Oryctolagus cuniculus: one gene and its partners. The protein of the gene in region 3 purifies or fractionates together with the protein of the main gene of each other region. This does not show direct contact. Links are inferred from orthologs where the notes say so. Each region holds a gene or a part of one and is shown on either strand. Other genes may lie near its edges. The genes, in order: MAP3K7, MAP2K7, MAPK8IP1, AKT1 and MAPK9.

What was found.
Region 1: the proteins of MAPK8IP1 (region 3) and MAP3K7 purify together in Homo sapiens (pull-down; 3 studies listed by BioGRID and IntAct, with this or other methods). This does not show direct contact. The link is inferred for Oryctolagus cuniculus from reciprocal best matches to the Homo sapiens genes MAPK8IP1 and MAP3K7.
Region 2: the proteins of MAPK8IP1 (region 3) and MAP2K7 purify together in Homo sapiens (affinity purification with western blotting; 3 studies listed by BioGRID and IntAct, with this or other methods). This does not show direct contact. The link is inferred for Oryctolagus cuniculus from reciprocal best matches to the Homo sapiens genes MAPK8IP1 and MAP2K7.
Region 4: the proteins of MAPK8IP1 (region 3) and AKT1 purify together in Homo sapiens (affinity purification with western blotting; 3 studies listed by BioGRID). This does not show direct contact. The link is inferred for Oryctolagus cuniculus from reciprocal best matches to the Homo sapiens genes MAPK8IP1 and AKT1.
Region 5: the proteins of MAPK8IP1 (region 3) and MAPK9 purify together in Homo sapiens (affinity purification with western blotting; 4 studies listed by BioGRID and IntAct, counting the BioPlex papers as one, with this or other methods). This does not show direct contact. The link is inferred for Oryctolagus cuniculus from reciprocal best matches to the Homo sapiens genes MAPK8IP1 and MAPK9.

What each region holds. Positions count from the first base shown.
Region 1 is NC_091436.1:81,925,642-81,931,599, reverse strand, and holds part of MAP3K7 (mitogen-activated protein kinase kinase kinase 7), read right to left. Parts: intron 5,142-5,958; coding exon 5,013-5,141; intron 2,807-5,012; coding exon 2,676-2,806; intron 555-2,675; coding exon 473-554; intron 1-472. UniProt on the Homo sapiens protein: Serine/threonine kinase which acts as an essential component of the MAP kinase signal transduction pathway. Plays an important role in the cascades of cellular responses evoked by changes in the environment.
Region 2 is NW_027208201.1:4,112,884-4,118,515, reverse strand, and holds part of MAP2K7 (dual specificity mitogen-activated protein kinase kinase 7), read right to left. Parts: intron 5,350-5,632; coding exon 5,302-5,349; intron 2,705-5,301; coding exon 2,563-2,704; intron 2,465-2,562; coding exon 2,398-2,464; intron 2,281-2,397; coding exon 2,167-2,280; intron 2,087-2,166; coding exon 1,967-2,086; intron 1,887-1,966; coding exon 1,779-1,886; intron 1,689-1,778; coding exon 1,509-1,688; intron 1,421-1,508; coding exon 1,340-1,420; intron 1,233-1,339; coding exon 1,090-1,232; intron 696-1,089; coding exon 650-695; intron 549-649; coding exon 414-548; 3' UTR 1-413. UniProt on the Homo sapiens protein: Dual specificity protein kinase which acts as an essential component of the MAP kinase signal transduction pathway. Essential component of the stress-activated protein kinase/c-Jun N-terminal kinase (SAP/JNK) signaling pathway.
Region 3 is NC_091432.1:20,067,541-20,073,498, reverse strand, and holds part of MAPK8IP1 (C-Jun-amino-terminal kinase-interacting protein 1), read left to right. Parts: intron 1-453; coding exon 454-559; intron 560-2,258; coding exon 2,259-2,561; intron 2,562-3,686; coding exon 3,687-3,768; intron 3,769-3,978; coding exon 3,979-4,791; intron 4,792-5,151; coding exon 5,152-5,227; intron 5,228-5,606; coding exon 5,607-5,779; intron 5,780-5,958. UniProt on the Homo sapiens protein: The JNK-interacting protein (JIP) group of scaffold proteins selectively mediates JNK signaling by aggregating specific components of the MAPK cascade to form a functional JNK signaling module. Required for JNK activation in response to excitotoxic stress.
Region 4 is NC_091451.1:46,975,073-46,981,030, forward strand, and holds part of AKT1 (RAC-alpha serine/threonine-protein kinase), read right to left. Parts: intron 2,692-5,958; coding exon 2,563-2,691; intron 659-2,562; coding exon 547-658; intron 458-546; coding exon 310-457; intron 223-309; coding exon 91-222; intron 20-90; coding exon 1-19. UniProt on the Homo sapiens protein: AKT1 is one of 3 closely related serine/threonine-protein kinases (AKT1, AKT2 and AKT3) called the AKT kinase, and which regulate many processes including metabolism, proliferation, cell survival, growth and angiogenesis.
Region 5 is NC_091437.1:67,258,396-67,264,353, reverse strand, and holds part of MAPK9 (mitogen-activated protein kinase 9), read right to left. Parts: intron 5,272-5,958; coding exon of another isoform or gene 5,200-5,271; intron 5,113-5,199; exon of another isoform or gene 5,047-5,112; intron 4,895-5,046; coding exon 4,823-4,894; intron 1,273-4,822; coding exon 1,090-1,272; intron 33-1,089; coding exon 1-32. UniProt on the Homo sapiens protein: Serine/threonine-protein kinase involved in various processes such as cell proliferation, differentiation, migration, transformation and programmed cell death.

The DNA of each region.
Region 1 (5,958 bases), on a different chromosome or scaffold from region 3:
TTGAGTATTATTTCTAATTTTTTGGATGACCAAAAACTACATATCTGATCACTTTATTTCAGAAAGCAGAACTTTTAACTAAAGCTAAGCTTCTTAAACAAGAGTCAAAAAGTAGTGATGTTCATGAAGAAATACATTAAACACATTTATAATAATTTTTAATACTATTTAGCAGTATCACGTAGAAACTGTTTTCAAATTAAGAATGACATACACAGTAATATAATATCCAGCCTTATTTTATATAACTATACAAGAATTCCAAGCTTTGGAAGCAGGTCTAAAATAAACTCTTTAATCTGGGTACCTTCATGAAAAATGATGCACCTGGAAACTCAAATTGCAGTCAATCATATGAAATGAAGGAATTAAAATGCAAATGGGAACATCATTCACTGCTTCTTGATTATAATTTCATTGGAATAGAGACCAAAAAAAGTCAGGTTATTAGTCTTCCTATCTATCCATTTACCTGTACTGGTGGCAGAATTACTCTGTCCTTCATCTGAATACTGACAAGGATACTGCAATGGCTCATCTGCTCCTGGGAAGTACTATATATAAAAAAGTAAAGGACAATTTAAAATTTCTTTACTACAGACCAATTCCTGTTAAAATTACCTGAAGAGTACACCTGAATTACTTCCCTCTAATGCGACTTGACTATACCAAATATGCTGTTTTATCTTCCCTAAAACAAATACTAAATTTGTAGAGGTCTAAGTTTTTGATTTTGGTAAGATGATGGTGACATACTCCCTTTTGAGTTTCAATTATGATGAATGCTATGCACCTGCCTAAGCGTCTTATTTACATGGAGTTTAGACAGTCTTGATGGAAACACCAAATATTTCTCTAGAGAAGGGGTAGGAAATCTTTTCTCTGCCAAGGGCCATTTGGATATTTATAACATCATTCACAGGCCATACAACTTAAAAATTAGCCTGCTATAGATTTATTGAATTTTGAGATCTGCCTGTGGTTGCCTTGGCAGGGTTACCAAATTATTTTGTGGGCCTTAGATGGTGCACAGAAGGCATGTTCCCCACCCCTGCAGAGGAATATATGAAACAGAACACTATCATGGCTATAATGATCTGAAATACATCTATGTTCTCGTGGCAATGATGTAAACTTCTAAACTGTTGCAATGATTATTGGCCTGACAAAGGAGACTGGTATACCATAGCATAATAATTAATACTAAATATTCTAAATAATTTAAGTATTGAGAGAATAGATATTGGATGTCCTTCTCTGAGGTAGAGACATAACACTGAACATATCTGCTAGACAAAAAAGCTTAAGGCACTCTTCTGAAATTAGACAAAGCACATATATACATAGTTAAAATCTGAACAATTTCTATATCTGAAACTTCTGTTATTTTAATCAGAGACTAAGTTGTTTCCTTATGCACAAAATCTTTATTTAGCACCTTGGGTTCTATATATAGCTGGTATCCTAGTATGATGGCAAAGTTTAACCAAATTAGTTCAAGCTGCTTTTCCTACATTATTCTCAATAGAATGAACAAATGAAACCTTTGGGATGGTGCCATGGCTCACTAGGCTAATCCTCTGCCTGCGGTGCCGGCATCGCAGGTTCTAGTCCCGGTCAGAGCGCCGGATTCTGTCCCGGTTGCTCCTCTTCCAGTCCAGCTCTCTGCTGTGGCTGGGGAGTGCAGTGGAGGATGACCCAGGTCCTTGGGCCCTGCACCCGCATGGGAGACCAGGAGGAAGCACCTGGCTCCTGGCTTCGGATCGGTGCAGCGTGCCGGCCGTAGTGGCCATTTTGGGGGGTGGACCAACAGAAAAGGAAGACCTTTCTCTCTGTCTCTCTCTCTCACTGTCTAACTCTGCCTGTCAAAAAAAAAAAAAAAAAGTAATCTCTGGGTATTAATTAAGGAAATCACTTGGTCTATATTTAAGGAAATTGCAAGGTTGTTCTACTGATCAAATTGCTCTGAATTTCAGGTACTTTCATTTTAAAGTAACATTTTAAAGCAAACATTCTATTTGGTTGTTTTCTTAGTCTACCAAAATCTAGAAGTCTAAACTATTTCAAATGATTCTAATGTATTTGATTTGTAGACTAGGAAAATTAAAATATTCTATAAATCCTAGAAGAAAGGTTAACTTAAAAAATTTTTTTTAGCTATAAAAACCTTTTCAGGTTTTCATATACAACAAAAATACAAATAGTAAAACATAATCACTCAAATGTATTTGGGAATGCAACCTCTCCCTCTACTGTCCTGTATAACTAAATAAATGACTGACTAATACTGAATGTCTGATGATATATATCAGAAAATTTTAAATTTCCTTCATTGGGTGTGAAAGTCATAATATACCCAAGTCCTGCGAAGGCTTAACAGATCATCTAATTCAGCTTCTCTCACATTACAGATGAGACAACGGAAACACATGTCCACTAATGTAAGCAGTATGAAAAGGTATAACCAGAAACCTAGCCTAAACATCTTCCCATTACAAGGAACTAGACTACTCCCCCTTCATACTCCAAATGGGTCTTCTGATTATATGAGTAATGAAAACCCAAAAATAGAAAGAAGAAAATGGTTACAATGTCTCCTTTACTCTAAGCCCTACTCAAACTCAGTATACATTAAATTTCCCTAAATTCAAAGCCCCTCAAAAGAAGGATTATACCCGCATCAAGTGAGTCATTATTTTCACAATTTCCTCCATGGAAGGGCGCTGAGAAGGGTCTTTAGACCAACAACGAGTCATCAGGCTCTCAATGGGCTTAGGTAAATTTTTGATCAGTGGTGGTCGAGTACCTATAATTAAAAATGAGAGAAGGAGGGAAAGCAATGTATTTACCCAAAGAATGGAGCAAGTTCTTTATTTGTATTCCCAAAGCAGTGTTTATTTTATAGATTTTGTAATTTAAAAACTATATTTTGGAGTAAAAAAAGGACTTATTTTTGTCCTATAAGTTAACATTTATTTTATGTATATTTTCCTAAAGGGAAAACATCTTTAAAAAAGTTAAATTAAAACTTGTACATCGGGGCCAGTGCTGTGACTCAGTAGGTTAAGCCTCCGCCTGCAGCACCAGCATCCAATATGGGTGTTGGTTCTAGTCCTGGCTGCTCCTCTTCCAATCCAGCTCTCTGCTGTGGTCTGGGAAAGCAGTAGAAGATGGCCAAGTCCTTGGCCCCTGAACCCACGTGGGAGACCAGGAAGAAGCTCCTGGCTCCTGGCTTCAGATGGCTGCAGTTGTGGCCGTTGCAGCCAATTAGGGAGAGAACCAGTGGATGGAAGACCATGCTCTCTGTCTCTCTCTTTCTCACTGTCTATAACTCTCTCAAATAAATAAATAAAATCTTTAAAAAAAAAAAAACTTGTACAATATAGAACAGTAAGATTGAGAAGTAACAATATTTGTTATGCTCTTTTAACAACAACAACAACAAAAAATGGCGTAATGTGTGAGATCTGGATGGAGTTCCTGGTTCCTGGCTTCAGCCTGGCCTAGCCCCAGCTATTGCAGCTATGTGGGGAGTGAACCAGTGGATGGAAGATCTCAATCTTTCTCCCTTTCTGTCATTCTTTGAAATAAACAAATCAATAAATCTTTAAAAGAAAATTCAAATGGTGGTTTGAAGAAACATTACCTAAATTTCAAAAATTTCAAAATGTGTTTGAAAACTTATCTTTTATATCAAAAAGTTGGTCAACTACAGTAGTATACTTGCTGACTTCCAAATGACTCTTTTGAGACCTTATGGTTGCTGTGAATCAATCATTTCAAGGCTCAAAATTCCAACTTTTTGTCCTACACCTGTGTAAAATTATTAGTAAGGTCCCACTTAACATAGGCCTCAAATACGAAGTTTTGGTAATTTTATGAAGTAACAAGTTAGTTCTTCTACTCCTTATTTCATTGCCATTCAATCATTCACTGCCAGCTGACAGAGAGAACAAACTGTCTTGGTCAATGATCTAGCATTCCCTACCATGACCCTGACAGCAGTAACACTGCAAGTGGTACAGAAAACTGATAAAAACAGCTAAAATTGTTCTGATGATCTTCTATGAATGACCTGAATAGTTAGGCAGACATTTGTGTTTATTACTTACGGAACAGTAAATATAAATGTTACAAATCAAAATGATTACATTCGAATGAAAGAAATGAAGAACAAGGCTAATGCTTACTAAGGTTAAGTAACTGTCCTTCATGAAGAGTTTATTTTCCCAAAGCAAATGTGGAATAACTATTAATGAAGAGGATCATGCTAACATCATATGGGGTTAGAAATAAATACCTAAGTGCTTAGAAATATCATTACTAGAGATATGCAGGAATAAGAATAGTGAGTCCCTCAGTCAATATGTCTGAAAAATACAGCAACTGAGTCAGAAAGATCTAGATTTGCATCCCATCTCTGCCACTTACTAATCCTGAGACCATGGCGAGTTATTTGTGTCTCTTTTTCCTGTAAAATGAGACAACCGAATTTACCTCCTCAGGCTGTGTGAGACTATAGAGAGAGGGTATGTAAAGCATTCTGTTTTGCTTTCATGAGCTTAACCAACAACTCTTATCATTATTTGTTGCTTTTTCTCCTTACTGAGACTCTGCTTCCTCAGGAGAAAAAGGCTGTAACTTTCCAATTATCTGAACTACATTAGATTTTATTTATGTATTTAATTTTTCAGAGAGCCTAGTATGATCCTTCTCTATGCTCAAGAGAGACAGAGATTTGGCACTGGTTGTGTTCTGATGGCCTTTCTCTAATATGCACAAGTAGCACATTCTCAGCCCTGTATGGAGGCCAGGGAAATCCCCAAATCTGCCCTACTAGACTCAGGGGCTGGGGATTGATAATAGAAATATAGTTTGATAACAAAGAATTTTAGTTTTTAAGGTTAGGGATAATTTTTTTCCTTATTTTGGGAGAGGGGATGGAGATAAGACAGAAACAATCTTCCAAATATGAAATACAAAGTACATTAAAAAAATTTCTTTTTACGAACCATTATGAACAGCCCACATGATTCGGAAAGCCGGCCCACCAATTTCATCAAAAGGTTTCCGACGTGTTATCACTTCCCAAAGGATAATGCCCCAGCTGAAGACGTCACATTTTTCACTGTAATTGCTACCTAGAAAAAGAAGGCAATATAATCTCAAGACTCTCTTCCACACGATATACAGAAACAACTGCGTTCATAAATCTTCAAGAATCTTGGATATGAGGAGGCTGTCACAGGTAGAAATGACTTTCTAAAGCAACTTAAGTCTTTTCAATGAATACCTTTTTTTTTTGCATTTATCATCTACCTTTTATCACAAGGTATAGCTCTTATCTTTCATATATTCAGAGTGACACTTTCTCTGTGTATTCTTTTCTAGAAATTTTTAATCTTAAAATTTTTCCCCATTCTCTGCTATCAAAACAAAGCAGGAGAAATCTATAACTTACTGGCTTTTCCCCTTAACAATAAAATTCTGAATAAAATAAAATTCTGTATGAAAATTATGGCTAACAAATTTATGGTAAACAGATTATACAGCAACATTCATTATTAAATCCCTAGGTGAATCAGCTTAATAAACAGTTCAAAAAACAAACAAAAAGTGACAACCATAAAACAAACCAAAAAAACCTCCCAACCCCCATAAGAATAAGCAATTATTATAGTAACAATCTTGCTTGCTCAATAGCACACTGTAATGCAGCAATACAACAAGATTAATCTACCATGGACAAGTGCTTCCAGATAACATCTTTCAAAAATGAAATTTACATAGTATAATAGTCTCAGTTTTGTTGCTGAGATAATCAATGGTGCTATGGTTTGAATATTTATTCCCTTGACCTCAGGAGTTTAGTCTCCAAAGCCTAAAGTTACTAAGAGGATGGAAACTATATCCAATCATGGTGTTTAAAAGTAGAGCCTTAGTGAAGTGATTAGATTA
Region 2 (5,632 bases), on a different chromosome or scaffold from region 3:
CGGGAAGTCCTGGGGGCAGAGAGGTAGAGAGGGAGGCGGCGGGAGGAGGCGCGGAGGAGCAGGTGCGTGGGGAGGGGCGGAGGGGGTGCCTCGCCCTGGGGGGTGCGGGGCCCCAGCCGGAGGTTACGACTGAATAAATAGCGAGTCTGCTCGCGGCCTGCTGTCTTCCGTTCACAGTGTCTGTCGGCGGACGGCACGGCCCGGAGCGGGAGGGGTTGGGGGCTGGTGGGCCTGTCTGTCCACGGCTGGTGGGCAGGGAGCGAGGGGGTGGGCGAGCGCCCCCCACTGTCTGTCCTCAGCCCTCGCGGCCGTCCAGGTCCCAGGTCTCCCCTGGCAGGCAGCTGGGTGGCCGGGTGGGGAGGGGGGCCGGTGGCCATGCCCCTGGCCCCTGGGGGCTAGCCGCTGCCACGCGGCTACCTGAAGAAGGGCAGGTGGTGCTGGCTCAGGACTCCGCTAGTCCGCGGCGACTCAGTCTTCGCCATGACGTCCTTGAACCAGGACGCCACGTCCACCTCAAGTGTCTCGTAGCGCTTGATGAAGCTGTGTTCCTGCAGGTGCGAGGGGCAGGGTTTAGGACAGGGCCTTCCCCACAGGGCACGAGGCGGCTTGCGGAACGGCAGGGGAGGGCTGCCAGGGGTCGGGTACTTACAAGTAGCTTATTATACTTTGGTCTCTTCCTGTGGTCTTTAGTAAGGCTGCAGGGAGAGGGGGGAGGAGGCAGGTGAGAGCCCAGAGGGGGCCTGGCTCCTCCTGGCTCAGCTCCCGCTGTGAGTGGGGGTCCTTCCAGTCTGTCCAGAGGCTGGGACCTGGCCAGCAGCGCGTCCCTGAAGTGCCCTGGCCCAGCACAGTGTGACAGGCATGATGCTCCACAGCAGGGTGGGCGGAGCTCCCCAGGGAGGATGGGCGTGGCCTGGGGTTGCTTGGCAGCCTCCTGCAGGGTCACCTTGCCAGACGTCCAAGGGGCCAGCTTTGGCAGGATCTAAACCCAGTCTGCCGCACCCAGGGCCCCAGCTCCAGCCTGGGCCTCCCCAGCAGCTGCTCCCCGCCCATATCAGGGCGTGCCCTCCCGCCCCCGCGCAGGGTCCTCACCAGTCTTTGACGAAGGACTGGAAGTCCCCCGAGAAGCCCATGTGGCCCGGCAGGAGTGGGGGCTCCTCCTGCAAGACTTTGGTGAGGACCTCGAAGTCTGTCTTGCAGTTCTTGTAGGGAAACTGCCCCGTGGCCAGCTCCACCTGCGGGGGCACGAGAGGCTGGGTGGGAGGGGCTGGGCTCCCATGCACCCGCCCACCGCGTCCCCAGGAGGTCTGGCCCTGGGGGAGGGAGGTAGGGCTGCGCTCACCAAGGAGATGCCCAGGCTCCACACGTCCGCCCGGATGTCGTAGTCGGGCTTAGTGGGGTCCGGGGGGTCGATGCGCTCAGGCTGCAGGCAGGGAGGGGCAAGATGAACCCCTGGGGCGGGGCTGGCCTCTCCCGGCCCCCCGCCCCCCACCCCCGTGAACCCCACTCACAGCCATGTAGGCGGCGCAGCCGGCACTCCGCGTTTTGGCCTTGGAGTCCACCAGGCGGCCGCTGATGCCGAAGTCGCAGAGCTTGATCTGGCCCCGCTCGTCCAGCAGGATGTTGGAGGGCTTGACGTCGCGGTGGATCACGCCGTGCTTCTCCTTCAGGTAGTACAGCGCCTTCACGATCTGCGGCAGGGGCACGCAGGGGCCTGTGAGGGCTGCAGGGCCTGGGGCCGCCGCCCTCCCCACCGGCGGGCCAGCCCGCTGTCGGCTCACCGCCACCGTCATCTTGCCCAGGATGCGCTCCGGGATGGGGCCCTGCATCCGCTTCTTGAGCTTCTCGGCACAGGTGCCCATGAGCTCCATGGCGATGAAGACATCCGTCTGCGGGGGAGGGAAGCAGGCACTGGTCAGCCAGCCCACCCGCAGGGCTGGGGGCGGGGCAGGCGGGCGGGGCGGCTCACGTTGGTGATGAAGGTGCCGAAGCACTGCACGATGTAGGGGCAGTCGTGGCTCTTGAGCACGACGTCCAGGTCCATGAGGATGCGCTTGTTCTCCTCCTTGTTCCCCGAGCGCCGCATTTGCTGCCAGATGGGAGGGACCGAGCCTCAGCACCGCAGCGCGCAGCGCTGGGGCCGCGCCCAGGCCAGGGGCGCCCGCTCACCTTGACGGCGATGACGTGGCCGGTCTTCCGGAAGCGCATCTTCCACACCTGGCCGCAGGTGCCGCTGCCCATCTCGCCCAGGTTCTCCAGGTCATTGATTTCCGCCTGGTAGCGCTGGTGAGGGAAGTGAGGGCTGGAGGTCGGGGGCCTCTGCTCCCTTCAGCCCAGTGGGGTCCTGCCCCCCCACCCCCTCCTGGAGGCCCGGGCACAGGCGCAGGTGCAGGGCAGTACCTGGCCCCCGATGGTCAGGTAGCCCGTCTGCTTCATGATCTCCTGCAGCTTCTGGTCAATCTCAATGCTGGGGGAACAGGGAGTGGTGCCGGTGAGGGGAGGTCCTGCCCCACCTGAAGTCAGCTGGCACCCCCACCCCGAGCCGGCCCCCCCCCCACGGCTCACCTCTCCATACTGCGTGGGGTGAACAGGGTGGGCGGCAGCCCCAGCATGTGGCGGGGCCGGGCGGGGGGCGTGGGGTGCTGCGGGGAGCTCTCTGAGGACGGCGAGCGGCTGCCCCCATCATTGGCCAGTGGAAGCTGCAGGGCTGAGGGGTGAGAACCAGGGGTGCACAGGGGTGAGGTCAGGTACCCCGGGATGAAGGGGTGGGGACTCTCACCTTCCCTTCCCTGTGTGCCTCAGCCAGGCCAGTCCAGTCCCTGCTCTGCTGGCTGGGGGAGCAGGGTCCTCCCTCCCTATCCCCGGGGGGATCCTTGGGGGGCCTTCTCCTAGCCCCCACACCTGGGAAGAGCAGGCTGGCAGGAGAGGGCAGGGGAGGCTGAGGGTTTGTCCCAAAGTCTATGACGACAGTGCAATGAGGGGGCTGATGGGGGCCCTCTGTTCCGGCCTCCGCCTACAGGGCAGGCCCAGGGCCACTGCACCTGCACTCTGACCACACAAGGACCGGATGTCTGCCAGGAGCCACCTGGACCCTACGCTGCTGACAAGCCTGGACCTGGCAGCCCCACAAGAGCAAGGCAGACCCCTGGGGAGAGCTCAGCTGCCCTGCCCCACTCTCAGGCCAGCAGGCTGATCAAGGGCACAACCAGGGCCACTGGGGGAGGGGCTGGGGGCAGGACCCCGGCCGTGCCTGCGTCCTGGGGTGAGGGGATCCGGGTGGCACGGGCCCTCCAGAGGCCGGCAGGATGGGGTGGGAGAGTGGGCCAGGCATAGGTTGGGGTCTTTCCAGCAGCCTGCATGCGGACAGCTCGGGCATGCTACAGGCAGGGGGCGGGGCGGGCAGCGGGCAGGCAGCGGGCACCTGGCGTTAGGAGGTGGGAGGGCAGGAGACAGACAGACAGACAGGAACCAAGACCGGGGGCCAGAACAGAGCAGGTCCCTGTGGAGCTCGGGGTCTCCCTGTGCTGGCTAACAGCTGGGGGGAACAGCAGGGGCCAGGAGAGCAGTGCAGCCCTGACCCGCTGACCCCTCAGGGCACTGCTTCCAGGCCTCCAAGGCCCCGCCTCCCAAGGGTGCCTGGCTCTCCCCCAGCCTCAGCAGATAGCCCCTCACTTCCTGCCTCGCCCCCCCCCCCATCCTGCTAGCTCCTGCAGACTGGGGCCCACGGACCAAGGAGCAGAGCCACATGGCAGGGGTGCTGGCAGCCAGGCCCTCTCCTGGCCCGCTGACCTGGTCCCCATCACAGCCAGCCACAGGACGCCCACCTGTCGGCTGAGAAGACCGCTCAGTCCCACCAGGGTCTGCCGGACACAGGGCTCCAGGGAGCTGGGGACCAGGCCAGGCCCTGTGCTCTCAACTGGCCTGCAGGCCTCACCTCCCCTGCCCACTCCCACCACCCTCATCACAGCCCAAGCCCTCCCCGCTCCTGAGGGTCCCCTCCTCCTCAGAGCCTGCCCGCTCTCCCCCTGCCCGGGGGGCTGCCCAAGCCCCTTTCTGCCTGCACCGCGGGCTCCTGCGGGGGAGACGCCATAGCCCCAGCCTCCCCGTGTGTGTGGTGCCCTTGGAGGGCTGCCCAAAGCTCAGGGAAGACTGCTGGCCCCACAACCCGGAGCACAGTGGGGCTCTGAGGGCCACTGAGGGGGCAGGGGAGTGAATGTGTGTGGGTGTGCGGGAGCCACACAAAGGCCCTACGAAGAGAGGTCACAGAGATGGGAATGGCCACACAGCAGGTCAGGAGGGTGGAGTGAGAGTGGGGCGGGGCACGGGAGAGGGAGGGAGGGAGGGAGGGAGGGAGAGTGAATGAATGAATGAGAGTGGGAGGCCATGCGGGGGGGGGGGCACACCTGTTGACAAGAGCCATGGACAGACCGGCTGCCCGCCCTACATGCACCCACACAGGCGCAAGCACACACGCCCCACACACATGCAGACAGGGACAGAGCCAGCCTGTCTCCTCCGCGTGGCCACACAAGCATGGCACACACGCCCACACGCGGACAGTGTCAGCGCCCCCGATCTCTCTCTCTCTCTCTCACACACACACACGCGCGCGGTACAGCACACAGAACTGGCCCATCTGCTCCTAAACACACCCGCACCTGTGCAGGGGCTGAGCGAGGCTGTTCAGTTTCCTGCTCAAACTCCTCATCCCCCAGAGCCTTCCCTGACCGGCCCCTGTGCAGTCCCTCACCCCGCTAGCACCTTCTCCCCTGCTGGGAGTGAGCTCACTGCCCACCAGGAGAGCCCTGTGCAGCCGCACTGTCCCGTCAGTGCAGCGCTGTGCCCTCCGTGACCAGAGCAGGTACGGCCGCCCAGGGCAGGCAGGCGGACGAGACAGGAGCTGCTCCAATGGTCGAGCTGGATCTAACGTGCATCTGACTGGGCCCCCTCTTGCCTCGTGAGGTGTGTGCCTGCCTGGCCCAGCTTTCTCTCTCTCTCTCTCTCTCTCTCTCTCTCACACACACACACACACAGGCCCTCGCGGGTGATGGGCTCCCGTGCCGTCAGGCGGCACACTGCCTTCTCTAGGGGGCCCGAGCCCGAGCCCAGGGAGAATGGCAGAGGGCAGGTGGGAGGCGCAGAGCCAGGGCCGGGTGCCGCCGGCCGCCCGTGTGGAGTGAGAGCGCGCGAGAGGAGGAGACGGGGACACACACAGCACAGGGGGACGGGGTGGCATTCTGCAGCCGGGCAGCGGTTAGGTTGATGGTGCAGATGTCCAAGCGGCGATGATAAAAAGGCTGGTACCTGCTCGTTGGGACGGGGCAGGAGCAGGGCTTAGAGTGATCACAATAACTGGATGGGGGGAAAAGGAAGAAAAAAAAACAACACCACGATAAATCACAACAGAAATGACCGATTTGTCCAAAAGAAAAGAAATCAAATCATAACAAGGAGCAGGGGTGGGGTGGGAGGCTCGAGGCACCGAACTGCAGAGATGGGTGGAAACCAACAGAGATGGGAGGGCGGGATGGAGCTGACAGACACAGACACCTGCGGGGCTCCTCTCTGCTCCGGGGACGGCCTGGGCCAGGACAGGAACCCTGGGCCCCCTACCCAGTCTGGTCTCCTCCGCGCT
Region 3 (5,958 bases):
TGGGCTGGGGGCGTGGAGCACTCCTGTGAGCCTGCTGCACCCCTGCCGACCCCTTGGGTCTCCGTACTCCTTACCCCTTGGATTGCGTGGGGACCTTCCTACCCCAGGTGGCCTTGGCCTTCTCTGCAGGTGCCCTTGTCTTGGCACCTGCCTTGACCCTGGCAGAGCTGAGGCTCTGACCTCTGGGCCTTCTAGGCACCACCTGGGGGTTGGCAGCAGGTGCACAGCTCCCAGCCGGGAGGAGCAGGAGTGACCCGGAGCCTCCCACCCCACAGCTGCCCTAGAGGACTGCCTTTGGGCATGTCCCTACTTGGTGACCGCCTCCCACATGGGAGCAGCTGGACCCCGGGTCCCACCCTCCGGAGCCGACGATCGGCCTGTTTGTTAGAGGCTGCCCTTTGGCAGGCCTGGCCGACCCTCTGGGTTGTAACTCTGGCTTCCTGTCCCCCCCAGGCTCACCCACGACATCAGCCTCGAGGAGTTTGAGGATGAAGACCTCTCAGAGATCACTGACGAGTGTGGCATCAGCCTGCAGTGCAAAGACACCCTGTCCTTCCGGGTAAGGGCGGGCTCCTGGCTCCCCGGAGACCCCGAGTAGGGCGGCAGATGGGTGGGGATGGGAGGGAGGCCCCCAGGCTACAAAGGGGGCTTTCAGGTCCGGTGGCACCCTCATGAAACGGTGTGCAGGCAACACCCAGTGCAGCGCTTGGCACGTCTTGGGTGCGCAGTCAGAATTTGATTTTTCTGCCCCAGGGGCTCAGGCAGGAAGCCGGAGGCCTTGAGATCCAGGAGTGGGGCAGGAGGGCCAGAGTCCCTTGGGGAGCCGTTCCTGGCCGGGAGCCTCAGGCAGAGCAAGGGTGGAGTCTGGGACTCTGCAGTGCTTTGGGGACAGGACAGAGGCGCCAGGAATGACCCGGAAGAACTCCTATGGCTGCTGGCTGCCAGTGCGCCGTACCACGCCGAGGCCCTCACGGAGGGCGTGGCCCAGCATTGCTGATGCTTTGGGCCCTTTGGGCCTGGCACAGGGAAGATGGCTGTCTCCCGGCGCGGCCAGGAGGCACTCAACAGCCTCGGTCTTGCAGAGCAGGAAGAAGGAGCCAGGTAGCCCGCAGGACGAGGGCCAAGCTCGGGGCTGGGTTTGAGAGCCCTGCACTTCCTTCCGCCCCCAGGAGGGCGGGAAGCCAGATGTGGTATTGGGGTGGGGGGCTGCCATGAGGGTCGCGGGAGAGGCACCAGTCTCTGTGCAGACCTCTTGCTACCCGCGGAGGTTCTGTAAGCTCTTCCAGGCAAGAGACAAGGGGTGAGGAATCCTCCAGTCCTTACTGCAACCCTCTAGCCTGTGGCCAAGTCAGGAAGGAAGGGACACAGAGACCACTTACTGTGGACCTGGGGAGGGGTCCCAGGGCCCTGACGAAGCTTCCCTCCGAGGCCATGCACCTGTCTGGAGTCTCACGCCACCCTCTCCCCACCATGCACCGTCAGGGCCTTGGAGAGGGCGGGCCCTGCATTTAGCTGGGGCCCCGGGGGAGCACTGGCTGTGGGACGGGGGCGGTGGCCTTAGATGCGCCCCAGGGGCTCTCAGACACGCTTGCCAGGAATGGAAGGGTCAGGGGATCTGTCCAAGGTGCCAGGCAGGCAGTGGCAGAGCTGGAACTGGGAGGGGCTGTCCCCTAGGAAGGCAGGGCTAGCTTGCCCATGGAGAGGCCTGGGCCCCTGGGGTCCGACCGCCCCTGTCCCCCGCCTCGGCGACCCTCTTCCGGCGCTCCCAGGGACTCCAGTCCGCAGTACGGCCCTCCTCTCCTGGCCAGAGACTCGGTTTTCCCAGGGTCCCTCCTAGACTTCTTCAGATACAAATGTGCGCCCCCTTCTCCCCAATCTCTTGCGGGGGCCCAGCTCCTCGGGCGACCCCACGTCTCCATGGCAACAGCGGTGACTTCATTCTGGGAGCTGCTTACAGCCCGGGTGAGGTCATCGGCCGTTGCCAAGGGAACGGGAGGGTGCAAGGAGCCGGAAGGGGGGTCCGCGGGGAGGGGAGAGGGTGGTGTTCTGCAAAGGGGGCGATCGGGCGGGGAGGGGCGGCCGTGCGCTTCCCGCAGGGGCGGCCCGGAGCCCCCTCTCTTCCCTGCCGCTGCTCTCCGCCCCCCGCTTCGTGGCCGCGCAATGGATTCGTCCGGGCAGGGGGCGGTGCGCGGCGGCCTCGGCCCCGCCCCACCCGGCGCGGCCCCGCCCCCTGACGCCCCTCCGTCCGCGCCGCGCAGCCCCCGCGCGCCGGGCTGCTCTCTGCGGGCGGCGGCGGCAGCGCGGGGAGCCGGCTGCAGGCCGAGATGCTGCAGATGGATCTGATCGACGCGACCGGGGACACTCCCGGCGCCGAGGACGACGAGGAGGACGACGAAGAGCGCGCGGCGCGGCGTCCGGGAGCGGGGCCGCCCGAGGCCGAGCCCGGTCAGGGACCGGCGTCCCGCGGCCAGGGCCAGAGCCAGGGCCCAGGCAGCGGGGACACATACCGCCCCAAGCGGCCCACCACGCTCAACCTCTTCCCGCAGGTGCCGCGGTCTCAGGTGAGGCGCGGGGGGCGGGGCTGAGGGGGCGGCGCCCCGGGGCGGGGCCGGCTCCTGGGAGGTGGGCGCCGGGGGACGGGTGGAGGTCCCTGGAGAGGGCGAAGGAGCGCAGGGATTGACGGGGCCCGGGGAGGGGTTGGAGTAGGGAGCACAGGGCTTGGAGCGGTGGCAGAGGTGTGGAGTTTGGGACCCTCAGGGTCTGGGGTCCCTGGTGAAGGTGGGGCAGAAACGGCGTGGGGAGAGGGGAGAGGGAAGTGGTCCGCTTGGGCGAGGGCCTGGGAAGTTGTGGGGGAGGTGGGGCCTGGGAGCTGGCGTCTGAAGTGTGGGCAGCCTGGACTTCCCAGAGGCAGGGGGGAGGCCTGTGGGATGGCGCTGCTCAGCTGAGCTGGGGGCCTGGGGCCCCTGGGCTGCTGGCCGGAAGCCAAGGAGAGTTGAATAGGGTGGGGAGCGCTGGCCAGGCCCTTTGTCTCCCGGGTCCAGTCAGGAGAGGTAAGGAGGGGACCCAGGGAGGGGGAGCTGCCAGGGGATGGGCGGGGGCTGCAGAGAAACGGGGTCCCTCTCCCTGGATCCTCTGGTAGCCCAGCTCGTGGTGTAAGGTGCGAAGGAGACTTGTATGTGGGCGTTGTGGGGGCCGGGCTGGGGAGGTGCTGCGGATGTGGGCAAGCAGCCGGGAGATCCGGGAAGGGGTCTGCTGCCAGCCATGCCTGTCGCCCCCGCGGGCTGGGCCCCTGGTCTGGGGGCCAGGGGAGACAGTGCCCCGGAGCCATCTGAGTGTCACCGCAGGCTCCCAGGGTACCTCACTGCTTTCTACCCAGGCTGGGCCAGACCGGCCCTGCCCCTTCCAGGATGGGAGTCACGCTGCCCCCCCACTGCCCTGGGCATCTCACGTGGGGGTCCTGAGTCTGCTGCAGACTCCCCCTCCTCACCCCCCACCCCGCAGCCAACCAGCACCACCTTTGCCCAGGCTGACACTTCCCTGGCCACCCCTCACCCCTGCTGCCTGCTGCAGGGCAGGGTGGGGGCAGCGAGCAGCCTGGGGGGGCCCTGTGGGGGCAGGGCCAGGGCCTCCCTGTGCCGGGCACTGCTGACCGCCTCTCTCACAAGGGCCCTTTGTTCGCTGCCCAGGACACACTGAATAATAACTCTCTCGGGAAAAAGCACAGCTGGCAGGAGCGCGTGTCCCGCTCGTCCTCACCCCTGAAGACAGGTGAGGCAGACCCCCCCACACCTGGGCCTCAGCCCGCCCCGAGTCGCCCCTGCAGGGCCCCCACCTTGCCCATGGGGGTCCACCAAGGCCTGGGCTGCGGACCCAGAGCCTGCCCGGGGCCCTGGTGCATGGAGCAGGGACCGGGGTGGGGGGCCCAGGTGAAGGCAGCCCGGCTCAGCACTGCCCCCCCACCTCCACCCTGCCCTGCAGGAGAGCAGACGCCCCCCCATGACCACATCTGCCTGAGCGACGAGCTGCCCCCCCAGGGCAGCCCCGCGCCCACCAAGGACCGAGGCACCTCCACCGACAGCCCTTGTCGCCGCAGCGCTGCCACCCAGATGGCCCCTGCTGGCGCCCCCCCCACGGCCGCCCCTGGGGGCCGGGGCCACTCCCATCGAGAGCGCATCCACTACCAGGCCGACGTGCGGCTGGAGGCCACGGAGGAGATCTACCTGACCCCGGTGCAGAGGCCCCCAGACCCCGCGGAGCCCAGCGCCGGCTTCCTGCCGCCGGCCGAGAGCCGCATGTCGGTCAGCTCCGACCCAGACCCCGCCGCCTACCCCTCCACCCTGGGCCGGCCACACCCCTCCATCAGCGAAGAGGACGAGGGCTTCGACTGCCTGTCCTCCCCGGAGCGGGCCGGGCCGCCGGCGGGAGGCTGGCGGGCGAGCCTGGGGGAGCCGCCGCCGCCGCCGCCGCGGGCCTCGCTGAGCTCGGACACCAGCGCCCTGTCCTACGACTCGGTCAAGTACACGCTGGTGGTGGACGAGCACGCCCAGCTGGAGCTGGTGAGCCTGCGGCCGTGCTTCGGCGACTACAGCGACGAGAGCGACTCCGCCACCGTCTACGACAACTGCGCCTCGGCCTCGTCGCCCTACGAGTCGGCCATCGGCGAGGAGTACGAGGAGGCGCCCCGGCCGCGGCCCCCGGCCTGCCTCTCGGAGGACTCCAGCCCCGAGGAGGACGTCCACTTCTCCAAGAAGTTCCTGAACGTCTTCATGAGCGGCCGCTCCCGCTCCTCCAGTGAGTCGACCTGGCCGGGGCTCTCCCCCTGCCCCTCCCCTGGAGCTGGGGCCACATCCTCCTGCCCCTGCCCCTGCCCCTCCCCCGGAGCTGGGGCCACATCCTCCCGCCCCCTGCCCCCCCCAGCTGGGGCCACATCCTCCCACCCCCTGCCCCTCCCCCGGAGCTGGGGCCACATCCTCCCGCCCCCTGCCCCCCCCCAGCTGGGGCCACATCCTCCCACCCCCTGCCCCTCCCCCGGAGCTGGGGCCACATCCTCCCACCCCCTGCCCCTCCCCCGGAGCTGGGGCCACATCCTCCCGCCCCCTGCCCCTCCCCCGGAGCTGGGGCCACATCCTCCCGCCCCCTGCCCCTCCTCAGGTGCAGAGTCTTTCGGGCTGTTCTCCTGTGTCATCAACGGGGTGGAGCAGGAGCAGACGCACCGGGCCATATTCAGGTGAGCACCCTCAGCCCGGGGCAAGGCTTCGTCCACTCTGCCCTGGGCCCCTGTGTTCAACCTCTGGGCATGCAGAGCAGGGTGGCAAAGGGCCGTGGTGCGTGGGAGCCCGAGGCTGCGCCTACACACACAGAAGCCACCCTGCGCCCGCCCAAGCCTCCCGCAGACCGAAGGGCCCGGGTACCCTGGCCTATCCGCCTCTGCAGGGCTCCGCCCATGTCCTGCCCTTGATGGCGGGCGCCTGATGGACGCTGCCCCCTGCCCCCCGGCTGGCGTCGGGCCGGCACCCGCGCTGCTTTGCAGGTGTTGGCTGAGCTAAGGACACGGTCCTGGGGAGGGCCCGGCCGGGAGGCCCCGCTGAGGAGTTCTGCCCGGCCAGGTTTGTGCCGCGGCACGAAGACGAGCTGGAGCTGGAGGTGGACGACCCCCTGCTGGTGGAGCTGCAGGCCGAGGACTACTGGTACGAGGCCTACAACATGCGCACCGGCGCCCGGGGCGTCTTCCCCGCCTACTACGCCATCGAGGTCACCAAGGAGCCCGAGCACATGGCAGGTAGCGTTGCGCCTCCTGGCTGCCCTGTGCTCCAGCTCTCGGCAGGCTGTCGCGAAGGGGCCATTGCAGATCCCGCCCAGCCAAACCCGACTTCCGGCCACTTCCAGCCACATGCCGGAAGTGGGATGTGGCTCCCCCTGCTGGCCCTGCCGCTCCTCTGCCTCGCGCGCCCTCCTCGG
Region 4 (5,958 bases), on a different chromosome or scaffold from region 3:
GCGTGTGCGCCACCTCATCCTGCAAGGCGGGCGGGTGAGCGCGCGCCGGCCCCGCCCACCCCGCGCCGGCCCCGCCCCGGCCCCGCCCACCTTGGCCACGATGACCTCTTTCTTCAGGATCTTCATGGCGTAGTAGCGGCCCGTGGCCTTCTCCTTCACCAGGATCACCTTCCCAAAGGTGCCCTTGCCCAGCAGCTTCAGGTACTCAAACTCGTTCATGGTCTGCGGGGTGCGCAGGCGGGTCAGCGGGGTCAGCGGCGCCTGCCCACCGCCGCTGGCCCGGGGCACCGGGAAGAGCCGGAGCCTCACCACACGATGCTTGGGCTTGGCCAGGGACACCTCCATCTCCTCGGCCCCCGAGTTGTCACTGGGAGACCCTGACCGGAAGTCCATCGTGTCCTCCTCCTGCTTCTTGAGCCCGTCGGCCACCGTCTGGATGGCAGTCGTCCACTCCTCCCTGCAGGGGTCGGGGGGCCAGCGGTCACAGCTGCCGGGGGCACGCAGCGGGGCTGTGCCCCAGCTTCCCCGGGCCAGCAGTGTGCGTACCGCTCCTCGGGGGTCTCCACGTGGAAGGTGCGCTCGATGACCGTGGTCCACTGCAGGCAGCGGATGATGAAGGTGTTGGGCCGCGGCCGCTCCGTCTTCATCAGCTGGCATTCTGGGGGCAGGGCCGGGGGTGCCCATCAGCTCCTGCCCCCGCTGGCCCCAGGAGGCCCCACTCCCCTCCTCCAGGCTGTTTCCCGCCCCACTCCAGTTTGAACATTCTGCTCGGGGGGAGTGAGCCCCCGCCACGGTCCCTCCCTAAGCGTCTGAGCCCCAGACTACCCAGGGCCCTCCTCCAGCTCAGGCTACAGGGAGGCTGCCGGCCCAGGCCCCTGCGCACATCCCCTCCAAGCTGGCCAGGTGCCACTTCTTCCCCTGCCCACAAGGCTGGGGCTGGGGCGAGGCAGGTCACTGTCACCTTCCAAGGCCTTGGAGGGCAAGGGGTGCCCAGGCCCAAGGAGGGGCGAGAACGCCCTGCTGTTGCCACAGCCACAGCTGCAGCACGCCTGGAGCACACACGCCTACAGTACACACGCCTGGAACACACACACACACCTACAGTACACACGCCTGGAACACACACACACACCTATAGTACACACGCCTGGAACACACACACACACCTATAGTACACACGCCTGGAACATGCACGCCAGGGACACCTCCATCTCCTCGGCCCCCGAGTTGTCGCTGGGAGACCCTGACCGGAAGTCCAGTACACACGCCTGGAACACGCACACCTACAGTACACACGCCTAGAACATGCACACCTACAGTACACGCGCCTGGAACACGCACACCTACAGTACACGCCCCTGGAACACGCACACCTACAGTACACACGCCTAGAACATGCACATCTACAGTACACGCGCCTGGAACACGCACACCTACAGTACACGCCCCTGGAACACGCACGCCTGCCACACGTGTGCCTGTAGCACGCACGCCCACAGCCGGGGAGCGTGTGCATTCCAGCACCAGCACCCTGGCAACCACGAGGGCCAGGTCTGCCGGGCGAGGGGCTGCGTGGGGGCCCGGGGCCCAGCCTGGTGGGAGGCGGCCTGTGTCTGTGCGGGCAGGAAGCTCACTCGGTCCTCCCACAAGGCAGAGCCCCTGGACACAGGCCCTCCGCACACACACGCTGGCTCTCGCCCTGGCCAGGCAGCGCCCCCTGCCCCCGGCTGGCGCTGCCCCCATGGGCTCCTCTGCAGAGGCCCCTCCTGCCTCACCCCCACAGCGGGCATAGCAAGGCTTCCAGGGAACTGGCCTGCGCCTCCTTGGTGGCCTCCGGCCCAGGAAGCTGGGCCTGAGGCCGGGGAGGGTGGCATTTGGGGCTCACGGGAATCCCCACGGCCAGGCCCCTCCTCTAGCACAGAGTGGGCCCCGGGAGGGATGACCCAGCAGCCAGTGCCGCAGCCCATCCCCACGCAGATGCCCACAGGCAGGGCGACGCCCAGGTCGAGCCACCTGTGCCAGACCTCCCTGCAGCCCCCAAACCAGAACCTGGGTGGCCCTTGAAGGCCAGGGGCCAGAGGACCCCAGGGTGCTGGCCAAGGAGAGGGAGGGGCAGAACCCAGAGGCCCACGGCTGGCAGGCCCATCGCCCCCAGCTGCCCCAGGCCAGCCCCAGGGCAGAGCTGGGCTGCCAGGTGGTAGAAAGTGGCAGTGGACCTGCCCGGCCCCAGCCAGCATCGTGGGAGGGACAACTGGGGAGCCAGGCAGGGGAAAAAGTGGCACTGGCCAGCTTTGAGGGTGCCCCCCACAGCTGGGAGGGGTTGTATGCAGGGTCCTAGGGCCAGCAGCCCTCCCCACCCAGGACCCCCCTGGGAGAGCCTGGAGGCTCCCTATAGCCCGAGCTGTCCCCTCTGGGCAGGAGGCTCAGGGAACAGCTCCACAGGACAGCCATGCAGCTTGGCCCAGGCCCCCGCCAGCCAGGGCTGGCCCCCAGTCCCACAGGGCACGGACCACTCCAGGCACCGCCCCACGTCCAACCCGGAGTGGCCGAGGGGACACTTACGTGCCACAGAGAAGTTGTTGAGTGGGGACTCGCGCTGCTCCACGTCCTGTGGCCGCTCCTTGTAGCCGATGAAGGTGCCATCAGTCTTGAGGAGGAAGTAGCGTGGCCGCCAGGTCTTGATGTACTCCCCTGTGAGGACACAGGCGGTGAGGGCCCCTGTCCAGGTCGCTGGCCAGCTACGCCAGGCAGAGGGTGGGGGACGGGAAGGCAGGCTCGCTGCGCCGGAAAGGGGCCAGGCCCACCTGCACACCTGGGACACGGGGAGGAGGCCTGGGCCCACCTACCTGGCCTTCCTGGAGGGGGAGGCAGTAGGTCAGCTGGTGCCCAGCTCAGGCACTGGCCGGGCACCCAGGCTCCAGGGTGTGGCTGCTGGCCTGAGCCGGCCTCCAGCCAAGAGGACAGAGCCTGGCACTGGCAAGGAAGGGCCAGCAGCACAGTCCTGGGGCCGAGGGCAGAGCTGCCGCCCACCCTGGGACAGCCCCTGGTCCAGGCGCGGGGGCCGACTCCCCCAGTACCGCGGCGCTCGGGGACACGGCAGATGCTCCGTGGAGCCGCGCTGCGCCATTTTTCACACTGACACCCGAGAAAACGCCTCATTTACATTTTGCCGAGCACAGAGTCTGAACGACAGGGAAGTTGCTAATTAGGCAGCTGCTTCACTGTGGGCTGAGAGCTGGGGACGACACAGGGACAGGCCACCCCCAGAGGAGCTCAGAGGACACGGGTCGGCAGGCGTCCCCTGGGCAAGGCACTCAGGGCAGTGGCCCTCCCTCCCCAGGTGCCCGGCAGCTGCCACTCTGCACCCTGGTCCTGGACACACTTGCAGATGGGACCCGGAAGCCCCGGGCTGGGCTGGGACCTGCACCCCAGCCACCCCCCTCACAGCCCAGGGCTCTAAGAGGCCCCCCCAAGCACCCCTGGGTGCTTACTGTGCCTGGACTGGGGTGGGCCTGATTCCAGCCAGCCCACCAGCAGGACCAGAGCAGTGGAGTAAGGCCACACCCCGATGCCCAGGGGGGCAGGCCAGCTAACAGGCCCCACCCCACAATGCAGGGGGCGGTCGCTCAGGTGCGGCGGGGGCTGCTTTGGGGGAAGGACAAGGTTCTGCCCCCTCATGAGGGTGCCCCCCACAGCTGGGAGGGGTTGTATGCAGGGTCCTGGGGCCAGCCGCCCTCCCCACCCAGGACCCCCCTGGGAGAGCCTGGAGGCAGCCCCCACCCCGCCCCGCCAGGCTGGGGCCACCGGGGCCTCTGGCAGGAGCAAAGGGCGACCCTCAGGGAAGAGGCTCCAGCCCACCACAGGCACCCCCTCTGGGCAGGTGGGGGCAGGCAGGGGCTCCAGGGGGCGAGCGGAGCGGGCTCTGGGGGCTGCACAGCCCCCCCGTCCCGGGCCGCCCGGCGCCGTGCCCACCCGCCTGCACGCCAGTCTGGAGCTGTCGGCCCCTGATGGAGTGCCTGCCATCCCACCAGCTGCCGCTCCCCAGGACGCTGAGCGAGCGGGGAGACTGATGAGCACCCGCGCGCGCCCCAGAAATCCATCTCGGTCCTGCGCCACACGGCACACACAGGGCCCCCACCCCCAGTGTCGGTGAGGGGGCTGCCCTCAGCACACAGACCCCTCCACGGGGGCCAGGAGCAGGCCGAGGGACACCTCTGCCTCTGCGTCCGGCCAGGCAGGCCCATGGGGACCCACAGTGCTCGCCGTGCCTGGGCTACAGCCCTCGTCTTAAGTTCAGCCAAAGCAACGTGGGACCTGAGACCCCCGGCCCCGCCAGGGTGGGGGCAGAGGCCACTGCACACCTGCAGACTGGCACCTGCCCACCCCGAGGTCCAGAGGGGCCTGGGCCTCTGGCAGGGAGCGACTGGCGCCCAGCGCAGGGTCTCCTCAGCGCCCCCCCCCCCCTTCAGACCTGTGGCGGTGCCAGGCTCCACCCAGGGCCTCTCCAGCAGGCTCAGCTGCCCTCTAGGCAGGTCCAGCCAGGCGCTGCCATCAGGAGGTGCAGATGCCCGGGTGGGACCCGCTCCCGCCCCACTGCTGGCCGGCCCACCTGCAGGACAGCCTGGAACCCAGCCCTGGGCTGGGAGCACAGTGGTGGCCCCTGAGGTGCTGCACGGAGCCCCAGGTCCTGTCCAGGCTCCAGGCCACCATGCCCGGGACAGGGAGAAGGGGATGGCTGCCCTTAGCAGGGTGACAGGGTTAGCTAGCTTCCTGCGACCCGGCCTGGGTCAGCTCTGGCCTCGGGGACACCACACAATGCTTGGGGACAGGATGGGCCTGCGCAAGGCCCAGCCTGTGCGAGCTCACAGCCAGTACCGACGTGGCCGGGGGCAGTCTCGGGGTCCACGCTGCCCGGCTCTGACGGGCTGGAGCCGCGTCCCCACCTCCACGCACATCCTCTGGACGCTCCCGGTCCCCAGCAAACTGCTGGGCTGGCACTTTGCGCGGCGGCGGGTGCAGGCTGGCAGGGTGCCAGGCAGCACCGGGCTGTCTCTCCACAGCGAAGTGAGCCCCAGCAGGCCTGCGGTCCCCCGCCGCCAGCACATCCATCCTGCCGACAGCTGCCGCGCCTTCACCTTCTCCGGCACATTGAGCAGAGGGCCTGCTGGTGGCCACCACTGCCTGCGGGGGTCCCTGTGCCCCTCACCGCAGCAGGCACCGGGCCAGTCTGACCAAGGCCACCAGCCCTCGGGGAGCTGCCCAGCTGCCCAGCGCTGCGTTCCCGGCCCAGGTCCTCAGGGGAGGGTGAGCAGTGCCACTCCGGCCCGGCAGGGGCTGGCACCGCCAGGCCCACCTCTCTGCCAGCCTCGGGCCTGTCCCACCCTCCCAGGAAGCCCCCCTACCAGGCAGGCAAGGCGGGTGGAGTTGACCAGAGGACACTCGGACGCAGGAGAGGACACAGCCGGGCACCACCTTGTGGAGGTGCCGGGGGCTGTGGGCTCCTCTACCCTCGCCTGGACGCCCACCCCACCTCAGCCTCATCCGTCACTGAACCTCTGGTGGCCCGGCGTGTCCCATCACCCTCCGGGTGAGGCCCCTGGGCTGCCCGCTCCGTGGCTCCCATCTCCTCCCTGGGGCAGGCTTCCTGCTCACCTGCCCACGACCCTCCGTGTCTGACGTGCGCTGGCCTCGCTGCAGCCTGAAGCCAGCACGGCCCAGCCCAGGCCACTCGTTGGCTTGTGACAAGAGGGACGGCCCAGCCGAGCCTTCCCACAAGGGGGACCCGACCTGGTCAGGCCGGCCAGGGGAGTGAGCCCAGGTCTGCCGGACGACCAGCTGACCCCGTCTGTCCGTTCCTGGGGAGGGGCTGCTGCCCTGGCCGTGCTGGGGGCTTCCGGAACATCCCCAGGGGATACCTCCTGGCCTGGATCCGGGCCAAGAGTACAGACAGCCCCAAGC
Region 5 (5,958 bases), on a different chromosome or scaffold from region 3:
CATTTTTGATAACAGATCCCTGGCTTGACTCGCTAGGGTGAAAACAAAGACTGGTGAACTCAGGAAAACACCCAGTGAAGAAGTAAATGTGTACTACACACACATAACAAAGATAAATGAATGCTGAAGAGATGTGACAGGTTAGAGATCAACAGAGCCCAAAGCCTTAAGGAAAACTCAAACAGCCACTTTCACAAAAAACAACAAAAAACCCAGGCTTTCCAACGTGTTCTTATTCCTCTGACCCAGGAAGGGGAGGAGAAATCTGTGTCCCAAGATGGAGTAGGAGGCTCCGAGGCACCTTGGGCCAGTGTCTGCAGGGGGCCCGCGGCTGAGAGCACATGGCAGGGAGCGGGGCGCGGGGTAAGAGCTCAGGCGGCACTGCCAGGGGTGTGGGCATGAGTATTTTTTTCCCGTCACATTAAAATGAAATTAGAACGGTCTTTTAAAACCACACATGAGTCTGATACTCTCACAAAATAAAACACTGTAGAGATGCCTCTGTTTGGCCTAGCTGTATACAATATTAGCAATACTCACTTATTTTTTTTCCCCTAAATTTAGAGATTAGTAGTTAGGGAAAAACCAACAAGTTCAATAACTAAAACACAGGCTCAGCTAGATTCTGGCAACTGAATGAAGTTCACAACTTGTACAGACAAAGCAAGGCTGCAGCTCGATGCGGATGAAAACAAATCGACCGTTTTCCTTAACAATCACATTTCAGTGAAGGACACTGAAGGGCAGGAAAGGTCTTTTTACTGAACAACGAGCATGGATTCTGACTCTGCAATCTTCACTCCAGCTTTCTTTATATCCAACGACATTCTGAATTTCAGTTGCTGGGACTGTGGCCTAAGAACCTCTCAGGTTGATCTGAACACGGAGGACAACACTTCCGCATCTATAGCCCTCTCCCCACAGTGCTTTCATGTACCAGGTGTCTGGCCTGCACCTGACTGTATTCTGTGGTTTCAACTATTTCTCCTCCCAACATTCACAGGCTTTAGAATGGACACATTTAAAAAAAAAAAAAGCAAGCTTTTCCTGGATTTCAAAAATAAGTATGAGAGAAAGAGGATATCTTACTTTTTATTTTGTCTCGTTCTGATTCTGATGGGAATATCCAATCTGGAAAGAGCTCTTCAAATTTGATTCCAGGGTACTTCGGTCTGTTTTCCACATAGTTCCTCACAGTTGGCTGAAGTTTCTTCATGAACTCTGCGGACGGTGTTCCTAGCTGCTCAATGACTTTGTTCCACTGATCAATATCTAAGAGGTCTCTTGAGGAAAATGCAACTGAAATGCCTTACATTCACAGTACACTAAGTAGCACCATCTGAGGGAGTACTTAAATTACATTTATACTCAATGACAAGAAATTAATGAGGCTACCCCACTGGGTCAGCAGAAGCACTGGAAATGGTGTTCAAATAAGGTTTCTGTTTCTAGCTTAGATTATTTTAAAAACTCTTACACTCTGCATCTTATCATCATAGTTTATTAAATCAGCACAAGGAAGGCTATCTACCTTTCCATTCTTGTCCAAAATTAACTTACAACTAAGAGCACCCAAGGCGGCAATGATTAAACACGGAATCAGATAGCCATCACTTGACACTGAAATCAGTTTCCTAAAGTTCCCTTAGATAAAGAGATCCCGGCTCATTAAAGTGGAGAACTTGAGAGACCTGTGGAGAGAACTTCTCTGCTGTCCTCAGCTTACAGCTAGGGACTCAAAGCCCTGCCATGGGCCTGGCCCCAGGTAGCAGGGGGAGGGGCAGGGCAGGACCCAGCCATGTCTGTACCTGGCTGAGAAAGAGCCAGGGCAACCAGAGAGCTTGGCCCTGACACAGCCCAACACCATGGGCATCTGCTTCCTTTCAAAGCACGTGACCTGGTTTCAGACTCAGCTGTGCACTAAACACTCCCAAGTCCATCTTCCCAGGGGTCAGCTTCCTGATTTGGACGGCGCGGGTGACAGCAGCCATGCCCCTTTCCCAGGGTGCCTGTGAAGCTTAGGACGGCTGGAATGGTAACCATGGAAAGTGATACTGAAACCGCAAACTGAACCAGAGGAAGCCAGCCCGAGCAAAGCACGGACAGAGTGGCTTACAAAGTGACAGGGCCTGTCTCAGACAACGAGCCCACAGCGCTGTGGAGCAGCCCAGGCGGGGCTCCGGCACACCAACTCCACGCTCCTGAGCATCACACTTGTAACGGGTCCCAGGCATCCGCATGCCTGCGGGATCTCCTCCTGCATGCCTGTTTCACACACATTACCACGTGAGAGGCATGCCTACCTTTTACTGTCCTATTTGACCAGAATGTGACAGCTACTTCACAGCTTTCCTTCTCTCCTCTTTCCCAGAAGCACCTCGGGCGCCCAGCTGCCCCTCCCCACACCTACGCAGCATCTACCACTGGGGAGCTATCTGGGCCTCTGCCCTGCCCCCCATCTTCAGCCTACTTGAAGACACACTGTTATTGGTTCTCATCTGCTACCTATCACTCCATTCTTTATTCCTACACTCTCTCAAGAGTTGTCTTTTCCTGTGTCTCTAATTCCCAGCCTCTCACTCTGTTTTAACACATTCTTCCCAGGCTTTCCCCTACTCCAGGAAACCTGTGCCCATCAGGGTTGCCAGTGGCCAGCACCCCATCCAATGGTCAATTCTTAGGCCTTAGCTTGTTCATCCTTGGCCCTTCTTTCTCCTCTCTGCAGGCACTCACTGCCAGCCTTGAGGCTTCAGTGCTACTGTCGGATTGATGGTCCCCTCCTCTCTTTATTTCAGACTATCTCCTGAACTCCTCACTGGGTTTTTCTACTAACAGACATCTCCTAACTTGGCTCTGAAGTGCTGACCATCTCCCCACCTGCAGGCCAACCAGCATGGTGTGGCCTCCACCATTCCCACGGGTCTCCTGCGTCCAGCCTTCCTCTCCGGAATGAGCCTTTCAAAACCTACGTCAGATCAGGAACCTGGCCGAATAAACACCTGCTGGATAAAGAGTCATTTTTACAGAACCCGAGGGCCCTGGAGCAGAACCTGACCAGCCTGGGGGACTTCTGGGCATGTGCAGACACTGTTGTTTAACGCCCAAGATCCTAAGGGGCATATGGCAAGTCTCCCATCTTACAAAAGGAAAACCAAGGTTCTGAGCAGGATTGCTCAAGGATGTGCACAGCTGCCATGGGGAAGAGCCCAAATTGGGGCTGAAGGTGGCTTGGCTAACACTTTCTCTTTCTCATAGGCCACAGTGGGCGAGGAGGGCACAGGAGTTTTCTGCTCTGGTTGCAAATCTGAAGTGGATCTCTGAGAATCTCAGTCTGGTTTCCAGAACCTTTCTTAATCCCTCAAAATCTCAATGCAATATTTGAAAAAGCTGGCGAAATTTCCCTTAGAAAATAGTGTGGATCTCTATGTAAGGTGTGAGAACAACATTAGGTAACACTATAGATAAAAGCATGAATTACTGACATTATATTAAATATAAAGTAGAAATTTCAAATTACTAGAGTATACCAAAATGTACCCACATTTTTCATTTTTGTACTTATTGAAGAAAATATTTCTTAATTACTAAAAGAAAGGCATGAGTAAGAATTGAGACAAACTATGTTCAGTTTTTAATTATTAGACTACCATAAGTTCTCCCTTTTTAGTTGAATTTACTCAATTTTATTGCAAAATACTTATAGTTTGAAACAAATGAATTTGAGGTAAAGGTATGGAAAAGTGCTTGAAATTTGTAAGAACAAGATAAAATGCTATATTTATCTTCACATATTATATAATCTGTGATTACGATGTGGAAAATAAAAATAAATAAATAAATAAAATGATAGGAATATAGGATTTTTTTCATTTTAGGTTTGTGTTGTGAATAATTCATAAGAAAACTATCCTTGTAAAATTATAAAAAACGAAAATTACTTTCATAAAATACACACAAATCACTAACTACAGAGCCTGATTTCCTTTCAGAGCAGCCAGCATCGGCTGGCAGGGGCCACTATTACCTTTCAGAGCAAAACACAAAATCAACACCAACAGAAAGATGAAGTGGTCAGAACACAAGTGGGAAGACGCATGCTGGGGTAGAGAATGCTGGAGATGGGAGGATCACGGGATAAGAAGGAAGGGCTCTCACGGCTACTGTGTGGTCAGCCTCCTGTCTGCTCATCAGGAACCTGACTGCTGACCACAGGACGGGTCATCTTTGCATTTAATATTTACTTAACTTCCCTAGTGTGTCGCAACTAAAATTTCTATTAACAGAGTAACAAACAAGTAAACTTAAGATATTGTTTCTCCCCAAATTCCTATTTTAAACTTTTTCACTCTGGTCTTCGGTAGTAAACTTCAGTTCTTACACTGGGGGAGAACCTTATTAATACATACTGACAACTAACTAAATAGTCTTTAATTAAAATCATGCAAACATTTTAGCCCATTAAATTTAGACAGCACCTTTTCTAGTTAATAGAATGAACTAAATAAAACATCATTTTCATTTAAATGTCTGAATGCATTTATCAAACAGTGAATAACTTATTCTGCATAAATTTCCAGTTTTTTTTTTAAATAAAATTAAGAGCTTAACGCGACTCTAAATCTAAACAAAATCATCATAGGTAGTCAAGTAAAAAAGACCACTTGCTTTGTGACACTAATTTAACAGACACAATAAAGACCCCTTTAGAACACAGTGTGGAGGACGCTGTTTTCCTTTGGAGCATTCGTGCAAGCAGGTGAGATCATGCTGCCTGTGGCATTTATGGAAAGCATGGCCGGGGTCAAGGTCCCGGGAAGGATACGGTCAGTGCCTTGGAAAATCACACAACCTTTCACCAGCTCTCCCATGATGCAACCCACTGACCAGATATCAACTGAAAATAAAATGAAATGATAAAATTATGACGTGCCATGAACAAAACAAAGGTGAGGAAGAGGAGTTCTAACAGTGCACTAAACACACAGATACAGGAGATAAACTGCTAGCTAAGGGTGAACTTTTCACACAATATGAATGATTGCTGACCTCTATTTTAGCCTTCAGTTTGCAGCAATCTGGGATTTTACTGCCAAAGATTCCAATACTTTACGGCTTAAAAAAACAAAAACAGAAACAGAAAAGCAGAAACAAGAAGTGTGTGTGCACACCACGCTTTCAGGCCCCTCCCGTGAAGGATACAGTCTCTTCCTGGGAACAGGACTTTATGGAGGACCATTTCTGCCATGATGCACCCGACAGACCAGATGTCCACTACCAAACACCAGGTGGTTACTGACCAGCCAGAGCCCCCGCACCGCTTTCCTTCAAACCCCTCCCAGACAAAACAAATCCGCTCCATTGCACCAGGTTGTCAGGGGGAGCTTCTGTAAAATATGGGTACCACACCTCCGGAGACAGCCTTCCCCAGGGTGCCATGTCAGAAAGACAGCAGCGTCCAGTGGGCACAGCCACAGAGGCGGGCTGGCGTGGCTGGGCTCAGTGAGGCTGTGCCGGGGGGCCCCCACTTCTCCTGTGGGTCCTGGGACAGCACAGGCAGAGCCAGGAGGGGCCCCTGCTGGGGGAGGCGGGGGTGGGCACGTGAACTGGGAATCTGATTTTCTCCCCCTTCCACAGGAGGCACACAGAGCTGTGCCCCTCAAGAGCAGAAGCACAGGCTACAGAGCATCGACATATACCTGGAGCAAAACTCACTTCTGCTGTTTTCCTTCGTACAAGTAAATGTGATTTAGTTCTTTTCAACCAACTTGTTGAAAAAGAACTCTTGTTTTCAAAGAGCTCTGATACTGCTAGAACAAGCTGAGTTTTCAGGTTAAAAAACACCAATTTTACATAAAAGACAGCACGTTGCATTATTCTGTTTAAAACAAGTTCAAAAATAAATGAGGCCAGTCAGTGGTGCTGGAACTCAGGACAATGGCCACCCTTGTGCGAGAGGCC